3 linked regions of the Drosophila melanogaster genome follow. The protein of the gene in region 3 purifies or fractionates together with the protein of the main gene of each other region. This does not show direct contact. Each region holds a gene or a part of one and is shown on either strand. Other genes may lie near its edges.

What was found. The genes of interacting proteins can lie anywhere in the genome.
Region 1: the proteins of Cyt-c1 (region 3) and UQCR-Q fractionate together in Drosophila melanogaster (co-fractionation; one study listed by BioGRID). This does not show direct contact.
Region 2: the proteins of Cyt-c1 (region 3) and UQCR-11 fractionate together in Drosophila melanogaster (co-fractionation; one study listed by BioGRID). This does not show direct contact.

What each region holds. Positions count from the first base shown.
Region 1 is NT_037436.4:17,473,091-17,477,429, reverse strand, and holds UQCR-Q (Ubiquinol-cytochrome c reductase ubiquinone-binding protein), read right to left. Parts: upstream 2,382-4,339; 5' UTR 2,295-2,381; intron 2,211-2,294; exon of another isoform or gene 2,106-2,210; coding exon of another isoform or gene 2,043-2,105; exon of another isoform or gene 2,021-2,042; 5' UTR 2,011-2,020; coding exon 1,836-2,010; intron 1,780-1,835; coding exon 1,685-1,779; 3' UTR 1,306-1,684; downstream 1-1,305. Other genes in the region: CG34250 (uncharacterized protein), read right to left, coding at 804-861, 959-1,119; CG46525 (uncharacterized protein), read right to left, coding at 2,043-2,105; SecCl (secretory chloride channel), read right to left, coding at 3,052-3,294, 3,359-3,738, 3,984-4,139, 4,195-4,339.
Region 2 is NT_037436.4:25,119,038-25,122,676, reverse strand, and holds UQCR-11 (Ubiquinol-cytochrome c reductase 11 kDa subunit), read right to left. Parts: upstream 1,929-3,639; 5' UTR 1,859-1,928; intron 1,800-1,858; 5' UTR 1,776-1,799; coding exon 1,692-1,775; intron 1,634-1,691; coding exon 1,460-1,633; 3' UTR 1,306-1,459; downstream 1-1,305.
Region 3 is NT_037436.4:5,357,719-5,364,041, reverse strand, and holds Cyt-c1 (cytochrome c1), read right to left. Parts: upstream 3,832-6,323; 5' UTR 3,703-3,831; coding exon 3,631-3,702; intron 3,351-3,630; coding exon 3,303-3,350; intron 3,166-3,302; coding exon 3,017-3,165; intron 2,550-3,016; coding exon 2,417-2,549; intron 2,348-2,416; coding exon 2,054-2,347; intron 1,940-2,053; coding exon 1,712-1,939; 3' UTR 1,244-1,711; downstream 1-1,243. Other genes in the region: Uev1A (Ubiquitin-conjugating enzyme variant 1A), read left to right, coding at 27-167; Klp64D (Kinesin-like protein at 64D), read left to right, coding at 4,788-6,323.

The DNA of each region.
Region 1 (4,339 bases), about 12 Mb from region 3:
ATGTAACTTTTTTGTTTATATTAGTAAGCTGTGAAGTTAGGTAGATTTTCAGGCTATATGAAGGATTAGACAGTTGCAGGACTATCAGTTGATGTTTAAGAATATTTATGGGATCCTTCATGTTCGTATAAGCAACACTAATCAGAAGAATAGGTAGACTTGTCTCAGTGGCTTATCCGAGGGCTTAAAGGTAGTGCTGCTATTTCTAGCCCTGCAATCAAGTCACGTTCGCTGGGTGTTCTAATGCAATATTTTAGCATAAGAGCACGTACCGCAGTATTGCATAAATTCTGAAAGTGCCGGGCAATGAGTCAGTACGGGATTGCAGAATGGAGCCAGCTGAAGTCGGGCGTCTATTGAATTCTAATGCTGCACCAGGAAGTGCGTGCAGACATTGGGCAATCAATCGCCGGTCAATTGGAATCGTTTGTGGATAGCAATTGAGTGTGATTGGATATGGCTTCTACTCCGGCAATTGGGGCAAAAGTTCAACAGTTTTTGGATGAGAATGCCTGTTCCAAGTAGGACTTACTTCGAGTATTCGAATAACCTATCTTATCGCAAGACAGCTTGCCAAGAATCACAGTCGCCTGATGATGAAATTAACAAATTCTGGGCTCTATTTTTTTCTTCTTTTTTTTTGCACGATCCGTGGAAGTCTCGGGGGCAGTCAAACCAGTTCACCCGGCCTTCGAAAACAATTATATTTTTGGGGTTGGGCGTGTTGTTGTGCAAACACCTACGAAATAACACGATGACCCTGAGACCGAAAAAAGCACGAGTACGTTCTAGCACCCAAAATATTACACATATAATGTACGTGACGTCACTGCCTCGAGGAGTGCTCCAAAAACCATAGAACTGAAACAAGATGCAAGGTGGCTTGTGGTAGTTATTATTAATCCTTAGCGTACATTACATTATGAGATATATTAAACACTAAACTGGATCCATCTACGTGACAGAAAAGCTGCGAAAATTGTTTTTCAGCAGCATGACCACGAAGAAAATGCCCACGGCAATCGACAAAAGCTGCACGTTGACCACCTTTGAGTCCACCAGGGCCTGTAGCATGTTGTGGATACTTTCGCTGCGCACTTCGTTACCGCAGCAGTCCATTAATGCACTAATATCGGATCAATAACCAATTAGAACGCCAATATTTTGCTTGCAAACAGCTGTGCGGTGGCTAGAGGTGGGGCTATTTACTTTTCTCACTCATCGATTGTTTCGGGTGACTTTCGATGATTGATTCTCTGCAACTCTAGCGGGTGACTATCAATGCTAAGACCGTTACCGAATATTAAAAACAAGTAAAATTTTTATTTTATTATTAAAACGTAATATATTGCCTCCATGTCGTGTTTTTTCTTTGAAATTCTCATCATATGAATTTTTTGTTATTTTATTTTGAGACATTGCAGGGCGAGATAGCTTGGACTCAAACCAAGACTGGGGAACAGCTGATGCAGCTGCTCATCCAGAAAAACAAATTCTCTCTAGAATTGTTTAGCAAACAGAGCAATAAAACTGATAAAATAGAACATAAAATTATCCCATGTGTAACGTATGAGTACAAAGCCTTTGGTGTTTAGCCTTCCAGCAACCGAAACACACAACTCTCTTGAACTGTGGGTTTAGTTTTATTAATTAGTTTAACATAACTATCTGCTAGTTGGGACGCTTATTCGTCGTTCGCGTAGTCAGCGGGGTTCTTGCGCAGCAGGGCGGTGTGCTTGCGTTCGGTCAGATCGTAGATCAGGTATCCCACGATGAAGGCTGAAAAATTGGGTATTAGAATACGATTCGACGGGAATCCTGAGCGATTTACTTACGGGGAGTAACGATGAAGACGTTGGAGCGGAAGCGACGCACCATGTTGGGCAGTCCCTTGCTGATCGCTCCAGCGAAGGCGCGCTGCTCGAAGGGCGACAGCTTGTAGGTGACGATGCCGTGCACCTTGGCCAAGTTGCCAAAATGCTGGCCATTCAGGATCGAGGATAGACGCATGGTTGTGGGGCTGCGGATGGGGAAAGCTTTGATTAGCAACCGCAGAGGAAGTGCACCAGGATTTGTATGAAGACACAGATCGTTATTATAAACATTATGGCCTAGGTGGTGCTCCTATATTTGCTGCACCCGGAGGTTATGTAATTTTCGCACTGCTCCGCGGATGAAGGCGGCCGAGTACGTCTAACACTGGGCGCGATCTCTGCACTTTTGGCAGCCCATAATTGTGCATATTTTTAGAGCCAGCACCTGCCATTGTACCGATTATGATGCCAAATTTTTACCTTGAAATTCGACTTTTACGCTGCAATTTCCTCTCGACTCGTCTCAACCAGTGTGACCGTGGACGGGCCGCTTGAACATACCAAGCAGTTAGGCTTTATTTTTGAAAAATGTCCTAAAAGTGCCGCTTTTTAAGATTGATGTCTTGGACAGAAGCTAAGTGCAGGCCACCACCAGAATGTGTAACTTTGTAGACTTTCAGCGTGGACTTGAACCTAATTTGTGTGGATAGCGGATCTTTAAACTATTAGTGGATTCTTATTAAAATATAACAATAAAATAATGTAAAACATAATTGCTTACCTTTGCCGTAATAAAATATGTGAGCGGCTTAAAAACTTAAATTTCGTGAACGAAAAGATTATATTTATTCAAATTAATAGACAGAATAGACACATGGAATTGTAAAATCGAGGGCTACTTATCTTTTTAACTTCATTTTCTGTGATTAGGCATACAAAGTATTCAAACTTGCCCACTAAAGATGGCACATTCATCTCAATATATGTAAAATATCATATAAATAATTTTATTGTATTCAAAATGCATTAGATTAAAATGAGTTGTCAAGCAAGAATACTTTTCCTGCCATTATTAGCCTTTTATACGAATGTTGAGATATAGTTTATACCTTTATTAATGATTAACATTTATACAGCTATGAGATGATGCATCTTACACTTTAACAATTATTTGCGCGATCAGGACTACGCAAATAGACAAGATTTCACATAAACGGCGGCATCTGCCTACATCCGCTTACAAAACATAGACGAAGGTCCAATACAGAGCGTTGAAGGCGAGGAACATGGCCGGAAAAAGAAATCGCGACCGCCGGTCTATCCACATGGCGATCTCCTGCGGTGTCATGGTGGTAAAGGTGGGCGGCGTGTCCTTTTTATCCTTGTCCACATCCACGATATGATCGTTGTTCGTACGCGCACTGCAGATAGACACTGTATCTGCCTCGGCGCACTCCGTTCTTATGATGGGTAAATTGGGCTAAGGACATGAGAAATGTTAAAATACAGAAAGCTCATGAAAGACATCGATCTGGAGTACTTACATGCACTGTCAAATAGTTGTTGAAGCCCTGATTCACAGTGCCATTGCCATTGCGCACGCTCTCCGTGCTGGAAACAATGTTGTCCAAACTGGAACACGATCTAGCCCTGGACTCGTTGCTCAAACTTCCGCCAATTTGACGGCGGGCCGGTCGTGGTGTCAATGTGGATTTTATGATGTACTTGCTGTTGACCTTCTTCAGCTCAATGTTCTCCTTGCGGCGCCAAATGGTGTTGACAAAGGCAAACTCCACCAGGCTGCCGAAGATGAAGAAGGTGCAGCCCAGGAACCACACCTCCGACACCTTTATGTAGCTCACCTTGGGCAGGTTCTTGCTCTGCGATGAGGAAAGCGTGATGAACGACAACATGGTGCTGGTTCCTAAGAGCATTGGATATTAGTTACAAGTGAGTCATATCATAATCATTTCGAGTTACTAAATTCTTTCTAAGATGTTGTAATTATTCCTTTAATTTAAGCAATCATTTATTCTATGACTCAACATGACGTATGCGCAATGTTCTAAATGAATATAACACATACGCACTGTGTTGCAGGTCAACAAATTAATTATGGATTTCGAATACGAAATGTTGCTTAAGTTAATAGTATTTAAATGTAATTACCCAGCATAATCCTTGGAGGAGATGCGTCCGCCTGAAGCCAGAAGGACACCCAAGAGATGGCCACGATCATCATGGAGGGCAGGTAATAGTCGAGCAAATAGAAGCCAATTTCTCGCTTCAGATTGACCGTAAAGCTCAGCGAACTATAGTTACCAGCTGCAAGGAAACAGTATTAAGAAATATTCCTCCAACAAACACCTCGTATGCTAACCAAAAGCTCCATGCCGCAGATTGTCCCCATCCGACTGCACAATCGTAGTGTTGTGCCAGAACTGGGCCATATTGTACTCAGTGAGCCTCATTTCCGGGTCAAAGGAGATGGGCGTGTGCGGCTCCCACTCCAGAATCAAATCGGA
Region 2 (3,639 bases), about 20 Mb from region 3:
GAAGGTATGTCTAAAGAAATCAGAACCTACAACAAGAAATGTCTAAAATGCAAAAAAATAAAATAACTAAGCATACGGAAAACCCCAATAACAGAAACCCCCTATGCTTTCGACAAAGTAATAGTGGGTAATATAGGTCCTCCTCTACCAAAGTCGGATAATGGTAATGAGTCTTCAGTCACCTTTATTTGTAACTTAACTAAATATTTAGTTGCAATACCAATACTATATAAGATCGCAAGTCGCTAATTCAATTTTCGAATCCTTTATCCTGACTTACGGTCCATTGAAAACGTTCATGGGTACAGAGTATAAGCACTCAATAATCAACGATTTTTGCAAAAATTTTAAAATTAAAAATTTAACATTTACCGCTCACCACCATCTGAAAACTTATCAGTTGAATACATATCAGTTGATAAAACTGATTGGGACCTGTGGCTTCAGAATTTCGTACATTGTTTTATACAACCCGTTCTATAGTTTCCATATAGTTTTTGGCAGAGCAGCCGATTTATCATATAGGAAAGAAGGAAAGTAAATGAAGATTGGAAGTACCATATAAGAAAACTAGAACTATGCATGAAGAGTATAAATGAAAGAATAATGAAAATAATGACTTACACATAACAAAATAAAAATAGCAGTGGGAGATAGTTTTGTTATGAAATTAAGTAACTAAACAAAAAACAAGTAGTTCATAATTACACGTTAAAACTTTTTTATTCATAGTTGATGGCATCACTTAATGAAAACAATATCAATAAAAATAAACTAAAATAAAAAAGAAGCCCACTCAGTAAACTCATATTACTTTACTCAATACAAATACTTCAATGTATTATAAATATATACATACGTACAGACACATTTGCAGCGCAAATGCATTGCATAAGCGCTGGCAATGGAAAACATGGGCAAATGGTTCCACCTTTTAAATTTCGAAAATTCGATATCGGAATATCGAAAAAAACTGGCACCAGAATGTCAAAGAATAGTCAGTAGGGTCTGTTATGTTTTGGGGATGCGTAGCCTTCACTGTCTTGGGAGATTTGGTTCCTGTTGATGGACACATGAATCAAATAAAATATTTAGATGTCCTTAATAATAATGATGATGAATTGATTGGAGAGTCCTTCATACTCCAGCATGATAATGCTCCCTGTTATAAGACCAAACTGATTACTGTTTCTGAAAAATGTTTGCATAAAAACATTGGATTGGCCACCTCAAATTCCAGCCCTCAACTTAATAGAATACCCTTGGTTTAGTATTAAAACAAAGGCGTGCAAATACTTATGCCCACTAGTGTAGTATTACCTACCCAATTTCGCTTCTAAAAGGTTCTGATCACCAAAAGGCACAAAACACGTATAAAACTCGATAAAGAGATTTGTTTATTTATGTTCTTATTTTTAAGCACTGCCCTTCCCTTTAATGGAATTGACTTTAATGGTATTTACTTAAGCTTTGTAAAAAGACTGTGCGAAACGCAATGATCTAACTCAGCAACATAGTCAAATAATTCTTCGATGCAAGTCTCAGTTGTTTTGGATCGCCCATTAACACGATCATTGCACTCTTGGTACTTATTGTACAAGGATTCTATGTGACCTTTAGCTTGACATTTTTCCTGTTGCATAAAAATCAGTTTAGTGTTATATTAAATGATGTAAAGAAATCTTTTTTACCCTTAAAACTGCTTGAGGGTCAACTAAGTCCTCTTCGTCATCAGCTCTGACGGCGGGAAGCGAAAACCAGTTCCTAAAAGCCATTATTAATGCTAAAAAGAGAATAAACTAGTCAGAATTCAAAAACATATATAGTACCAAATTTTATGAATATGAACGTAAATTACATTTTTGAAAAATAACTATAACCTTTAAGACCGCTATGATGCAATCACAATGTATTTTATGTATGCCTGAATTATGAGGGCCAGACCAACAAAAACAGATTATTTTATGCATATATATCAATTAGCTAAGCTTATAGCCTAGCCCCAATAGAATACATCTTTATGAACCGTTTGCAATTTTACCTAGATGTTAAAATCTGTTCACACAAGGTACAATCAAAGCAATTAAAATAATTTTTGGCCAGTTGTCCGCCGTGACGGGGGTCAGATAATTTTTTTTAGGCTATAAACTTTTATTTAAAACTTTTCATAATTTTTTCCTGATTCCCTTGATACATGTTTTTGGAGGCAAACATTTAAAAATGACGTGGTGTTTTTAAAACGAAATTCAATCAGCTAAAAGCTGATAAAAAAAGTGGATAAAATATCTACTGAAAATTAATAATTACTAATTCGTTGTGGGCCAGAGTTGTCTTCTCTGTCTTTTTGGTTCTTTTTGCTCTAGTTTTTAAACAATAACTAATTAAAAGCAATCAAATAAATATATGCTTAAGTGATAGAAAGTTTTCATAAAACTGATGCGAAAACTTCTTTATTGATATATACAACTATGCGTGTTCTCTATAAAATTACACACACAAATAAAATTTGTATTGAATAGTTGTTGTAATTTGTATTTGAATAGGAACCATAGTGTGGTAAAAAGCAGAATAAAAAGACCTAAAATATTTGAAACTAACCTTAATTTTTTTATTAGTATGCGCGAGTACCTTCTTCAACCCGTGGACCATCCGCTCGCATACGCCTCCTGCCCGGCATTGAAATTTTCATTCCATTTAATTTGATGACAGTTCGTTCTACATCTTCTCCGTTTTGACTCCTCAATCTGGCCACCGGTCCACGGCAGCTTATAAAATTCCTCAGTGCGACTGTCGACAATTCCTGGGCCATCTTTAGACCCCGACTGCTGCTTCCCTGAAGTACACACACTTCCGACAGGAACGTGTACTGCAAGAAACCTTGAAGCAGCTCCTAATCCCGGGACTTGGCTGCGTCATTATAGATTACGTAGATTATACGTATTTTGGTAGGTTCATTTGGATTTTCGACACCGAAGTGTGGCAGACACTGTCACTGTCACTGTACGTATCATCTTGACATAGCCATTTTCAATTTCTCTGTATGCTGTCAATGTTGATGACCCTCATATTATAGCTGCCTGTCAGCCTCACCTCGTAATTCTTCCATAGCAGACCAGTTAAGGATTGTAAGCCCACAGTAAACTAAATTCCATCAATCCTACAGAACCGCGCCATATGTCCCTTTTCTAAGCACAGAAAATAGATTCGATGCTTCTTTGCAAAGTTTATTCGAGACATTAGAGACGCATGAGTAAACAAAGACACTAGAATAATTTTAAAAAATGAGGAAAACCTAAAATGGTTCAAAAGTGTGTTTTGGGCGTTTTGTTTGTGTTTGCGTGACCAAAGTGTCTTTGGTATGCCGATTAAAATGCCGGAAGACAAACAATAAAACGAAGAAGAATCAAACATTTTTCAATGGTAAGGTCGGTTTTGGGCGGTTTGTTCACGCTAGAGTGGGCATGGCAAAACTTTTTTTTTTGCAAAATCGATAAAAGACTAATATTAATACGAAATAATATAAAAACATTTTTAAAAAGTGTGGGCGAGGCAGTTTTTGGCGGTTTGTGGGCGTGGCAAAAAGTTTTTAGGAATACCGTTAGAAATTTACAAAACTAATACTGTTTAACTAATAAGCTC
Region 3 (6,323 bases):
TGCTAATATATTTGAATTTGCAACAGGTTGATCATAGATCAGTTCAGATGTTGGCCAGATGGAGTCGCGAGTACAATATAAAAACGATGCTGCAGGAAATCCGTAGGATTATGACCATGAAAGAGAACCTGAAGCTGGCACAGCCGCCAGAAGGTAGCTGTTTTTAGTCGACAACATCCGTTAGCAACACCAGCAGCAGCTGCAACAGCATCGAATGCAACGCGAGCGGGAGCAGCATCCACACCCAGTAAGAGCCGGAAAACGAACCACCATCATCAGTCCAAAAGTCCAAGACCAAGGTGGCCACACGTGCGTGGAATTAAAAAGAGATTGTGTGGCGGCTGCTCCGCCGAGTTGCCATCGGTGGCAGCGTATGCTTATTAATGAACGTAATAAAGATCGAGTGCGGTTATTGTGGCAAGAACAACAACCAAATGCAAGCTATATACTATAAGTAAAGGGAACAGCAGCGAAAAATGCGATAGGAGCGTCACTATGAAGAGGTCGTCGTCGTCCCTTCCGTCATGAACTATGTCATCGTGTTTGGTTACCTTACTCTTCTTACTACTTCAACTTCAGTCCCCAAACAAAACGAAACGAAAATATGAGAACTTCTTTTGAATAAGAAATAAAACAGCAGCAAAAGAAACAAGTTAAATGCCTGAATGTTTCAGATTCAAAACTTCAAATCGAAAATTCGTAAACTAATCGAACAGAAAAGTAATGCATAACAATGATAACGATTAATCAAGATCACAGCGTGAGATCCGAGCGTAATTATTGTTTTTTTTTGCCTAAACTAAAAATTTATTAATTATATACATAAAGCAAAATATATATTAATTTAAATAAAACCAACATGTCGAACACAATTTTTGTAGACGGCGCCAGTACGAACGTTTTTTTTTTTTGTTTATCATTGATGAAGCGATTTTGTAGTTGATTTTATATTCTATTCTTTCGAAAATCTTCCTCCCGAATCGCTTGGGACGAGGGACGCGATTTATAATCATTGAATTGTGGAAATTATAGATATATATATATATATATAGAAACACACACACACTAAGCCGATGAGCAAATCGAGCGGACAGAACGATGAACGATGATTAAAATAATACTTTAATTTAAGCTTCTAAATAAAACAATTAATCCAATAAAACGTAGTGTATCCATGTAATCTAGTGGGGTTACTTAAAAACTTATAAACAAAACAAAATCAAGTAACAAATTGAAACATTTTGATGTCCCGCCTAGAAATGATTTTCCAACCAACCATCATTTCCGTTTATTTGTCAATTGTTTATTGTTTTAAATACATAATTGATTTATCGATTCTATACACAATCAATGTCACATTATCCATCAATCATTTCGCTAGGCTCCTGTAGTCTTTGTAGCCTCAATCCCCCGCTCATTGAATCTTCCGATCCGATCTTTGTTTGGTTACCATCAGTAGGTTACCAAGGATGTTTTAGATTTAGCTATTTAGTTTTATTTTGAATCGTTTGGTTGGCTGGCTCTCGCATATTGGGATAGTATTTGTGTTTATATTTTTCAGCGGAGAGAACATTGACTTGGTGGTTGCGGATGTTGCTTGTTCACTTGTGTGTGGTTTTGGTTTTTGCTTAAAATTGATTTATCTTTATTAGTCGGTAAAGCCGCGATAACACTGCATTTCTTCACACCATCAAAATCAAATTCAAACATTCTACTTCTCCTTGGGCACGAACACAATCTTCCGCGACTTGAGCGACGACCACTTGTGCCGCTTAATGTAATACGAGATGACGGTCAGGAAGCCAAGGATGCCAATCACCTTGATCAGCAGCTGCTTGCGATCGTCGTGCTCCGGCTCGGAAGTCCACTTCAGGAAAGTGGCCACGTCCTTGGCCAGCTGGCTCTGCGTCGGCGGTGTGCCGTCCTCGTACTCGATGACCTGGAAAGGGGATAATCATTAAAGATTGCAATCGTGTTCTCTTATATCGTTTTCAAATCATTAGTTTCTTTCTGAGAAGGAAAATATAGAACTAGTATTTGATCAGCCACCCACCTCGTTGTACAAAACCTGCGCCATGGAAATGGCACCGCCCGGGAAGTACGGGTTGAAGTACTGACCCTCGCGCAGCACCACTCCGGCAGGAGCATCATGGTAGCCCGTGAGCAGCGAGAAGATGTAATCCTCTCCGCCCTTGCGGGCCGACACGATGTAGCTCAGATCCGGAGGATAAGCACCGTTGTTGGCAGCACGGGCCGCCTCCTCGTTGGGATACGGCGATGGGAAGTAGTCCGACAGCTTGCCAGGACGAGTGTAGTAGTTGCCGGTATCATCGGGACCGTCCTTGACCTGTAACGGGGACATTCAAATCAATTAGGAAACATTTAGATCTAGAAATCTAAAAATTCGAATACCCACCGTGATCTGCTCGGCTTCAGCCTTAGCCTCGGCTTCGGTGTGGGTGACACCAACCAGATTGCGGTAGGCAATGTATTGCATCGAGTGGCAGGCGGAGCACACCTGCTTGTACACCTCGTAGCCGCGACGAACGCTGAAAGTAGGAATTGAGATGATGTTACTAACTGGATAGCAGGGTCAGTGGGCAAATGCCATCTTATATGCAGATACTACAAAACATTCTTTAATATCTTTAATTTTAACTAAAATCCCCATTTAACAATCCATTAATCTTCTATGTTCTGCTAGTTGCTGTTCTGATTAGCTTTTATGAGCAAAGTATTGTTGTTAATCTATAGTTGTTATCAGTTTTTAAAGATTACAGAAGATTTGCCGGGAAAATTGGCTACGTTTTCTAAATTGAATATGATATTTGTATTGGCGAGTTTGAGATAAAATAAAATACTTCAAACAAAATCTCTCTAATCATTAAAGAACTCTTTTTGAAATTTGACAGCAATCTAAACCAATTCACTAGAAATGCACTTAGTTAGCTCCACCACAGATGGAAATGCCCAGTTCCCGACCACTGATCAGTTTAACCGCCGTTTTTTGGATTACCTCTGGTGGTCCAAAGCGTCGAAGAGGCCCTTGTGGTTCCAGAGTTGCGCGGGGGAGTGCACCTCGCCGCCAGATGCCTGCACGGACTGCTCCAGGGCGTAGATAAGGGCGCCCACTCCGCCGGTGATTGCTCCCAAGGCGCCGATCAGCTGTTCGTGATGCACACACACGCACATACAGCCGCACACAGTCACCGAGAAGCAAACGCGTTTTGAGGTTAGGTCCGATCGGGTATTATGAAATGCGAAGTGGGGGAATATGTGAGATTCCTGACTAGCTGACTTACCTTCTTGTTGCCACTGGCCCAGCTGCCGGCGGAGGAGAGGTTCTTCGCCTGCAAAAAGAACGGATGTCATTTAGTTTGGATGTTCGGCCAAGGAGAGTAAGAATTTTTGCACGGAGTTACATAATTGGATTGTTCGGTTCGTATCCGAGTTCATTTAATCCCATTGGAATTGCGGATACCACTCACTGTGCCACCTAGAGTGCACCATTGGTCCTTGTATTTTATGTTTTACGGTATTATTTCATGTTTTTCTCCATCGGACACACGACTCCTTCAAGGTGCTGCGGTGGCTGTTGAAAAACTTGCATCCGCCGTTCACGATCTTTACCTGCTGCAGGCTGAGTGCTGGCGCGGATTTCAGCAATCTCAAGCCATGGAATCTTCGCAATGTCGCTGCCATGGTGGCCGGAGTTTTAATTTCTGCGTCGTCTGGTCGTTTAAGGAAACTCTGCGGGCAGCCAATCGCCAATCGAATCAATCTTTCAGTACCACTGCCACAACGTCTTCCTCTTCTTCGCTGCTCTCTCGCGGAGGTGGTGGTGGGCAACTCGCTCGTTTGCCAGCGAATCGGAATCGGCGGGGGCGATATTTTGGTATTTTTAAACAGATATTTTAATTTTATTTTATTATTATTTTTTTATTTACTGTATGATATTTATTTATAATATGATATTAATGTATGTATAATTTAAATAATACATTTAAAATATCACTTTTTATTTTTTTCTTTTTTAATAAATATTTGTTACACAGTGTACCTTAATTGCTTTTAGTGTTTTTTTTTTCTTTCATGTTCTTTATTATATCTTCGAATTTACGGTTTTCCAACTTGTTGATTCAAAATACTTCATAATCTAATTGGAACTACTTGTTGACATTAAGTTGGATTTTTTGATTTTTTAGAAACCACTTGATGATTTCATAAGATAAGTTGACAGAACAGCTCTAAAAACAGCTGCCTTAGCCTTAGCCAAATTTTTGGTTGCTGTTATGTAATTTTTCATGTTTCACTGCGCTGTTATCACAAAAAAAGATTTTAATTTTTATTATTGAATTCTTTTCGAAATATCTATAAAATTCTTAAAAGCCTTGAAAAAGGATTTTCAAAAAGTAAAAATAAGTACAATTATCGCAGTTCACAAAATAACCTTCGATTGCTTATATCACAGGTCAATATTATAATTTTATTTTTATTTTTGCTAATTGTTTTTATATATATATTATTTAAAAAAAAATATATAAAATTATTTTGTCTCACTGATGAATAGATTTTTCCGCTGGTCTGGCATCCTTCTCGCCCGTTTTTCGCACACTTATCGATAACAGCTGACCACCCGTTAATGATTCGCCAACAAAAAAAACCTAGCAACGCATAAACAAATGCGAGAAAAAACCCCCTTTATTGATTTCCACTAAGTGCGGTCAGCGCAAATAGTGGTTAATAGCTTTCACTAGACGAGGAATAAAGCCAGGACGTAGATCGCCATGCCGCAGGAGGAGGCAAATGCGGGAACAACGGCCCAACTCGATGACGAAATCGAGAATGTGCGTGTGGTGGTGCGAACGCGACCCATGGACAAAAATGAGTTGTCCGCGGGAGCGCTAAGTGCGATTTCGGTGGATAAGATCAACCGGGCCATTACGGTGATGAAACCGAATGCCACCGCCAATGAACCGCCGAAAACGTACTACTTCGACAATGTATTCGATGGTGGCTCCAATCAAATGGATCTCTATGTGGACACCGCTCGTCCGATTGTGGACAAGGTGCTGGAGGGCTATAATGGCACCATCTTGGCCTACGGACAAACGGGCACCGGCAAGACGTATACCATGTCGGGGAATCCGGATTCGCCGCAAACAAAGGGCATCATTCCGAATGCATTTGCGCACATCTTTGGTCACATTGCTAAGGCCAAGGAGAATCAGAAGTTCCTGGTGCGCGTCAGCTACATGGAGATCTATAACGAAGAGGTGCGGGATCTACTGGGCAAGGATGTGGGCAAGAGCCTGGAGGTCAAGGAGCGACCGGACATCGGTGTCTTTGTTAAGGATCTCAGTGGCTATGTGGTGCACAACGCCGATGATCTGGAGAACATCATGCGTTTGGGTAACAAAAATCGTGCCGTGGGAGCCACCAAAATGAACCAGGAGAGCTCCCGCTCCCATGCCATTTTCTCCATTACTGTGGAGAGAAGTGAGCTGGGCGAAGGTGATGTCCAGCACGTAAGGATGGGTAAACTACAGCTGGTGGATCTCGCCGGCTCCGAAAGGCAGTCGAAGACCCAGGCCAGTGGACAGAGACTTAAAGAGGCCACCAAGATTAATCTTTCGCTATCGGTGCTGGGAAATGTGATCAGTGCTTTGGTGGATGGAAAAAGCACCCACATACCGTATCGGAACTCCAAGTTAACTCGACTTCTGCAGGACTCCCTCGGTGGTAACTCCAAGACCGTCATGTGTGCCACCATTAGTCCAGCGGATAGCAATTATATGGAAACTATATCCACACTTCGCTATGCTAGTCGTGCTAAGAATATCCAAAATCGCATGCACATCAATGAGGAACCCAAGGATGCTTTGCTTCGTCACTTTCAGGAGGAGATTGCCCGACTTCGCAAGCAATTGGAGGAGGGCGACAGCTTGGAGGAGGAGCCACCGAGCTCCGAAGAGGAGGAGGATACAGCAGATGACGAACTGGAGGCACCACTGGAGATCGAATTGGAATCATCAACGATCCAGGCTGTGGAGAAAAAACCCAAGAAGAAGCGCGAGAAAACCGATGCCGAAAAGGAGGAACTGGCCAAGCGCAAAAACGAGCATCAGAAGGAAATCGAGCATGCTAAGACGGAGCAGGAAACACTTCGCAATAAACTAGTCTCATTGGAAGGTAAAATTCTCGTTGGCGGCGAGAATCTGCTGGAGAAAGCCCAGACGCAAGAGCTGCTGCTAGAGCAATCCATTGCGGAGCTGGAACAACATGAAAAGTCCGAGGAGGCGCTGAAGCAAACTCTACAGCAA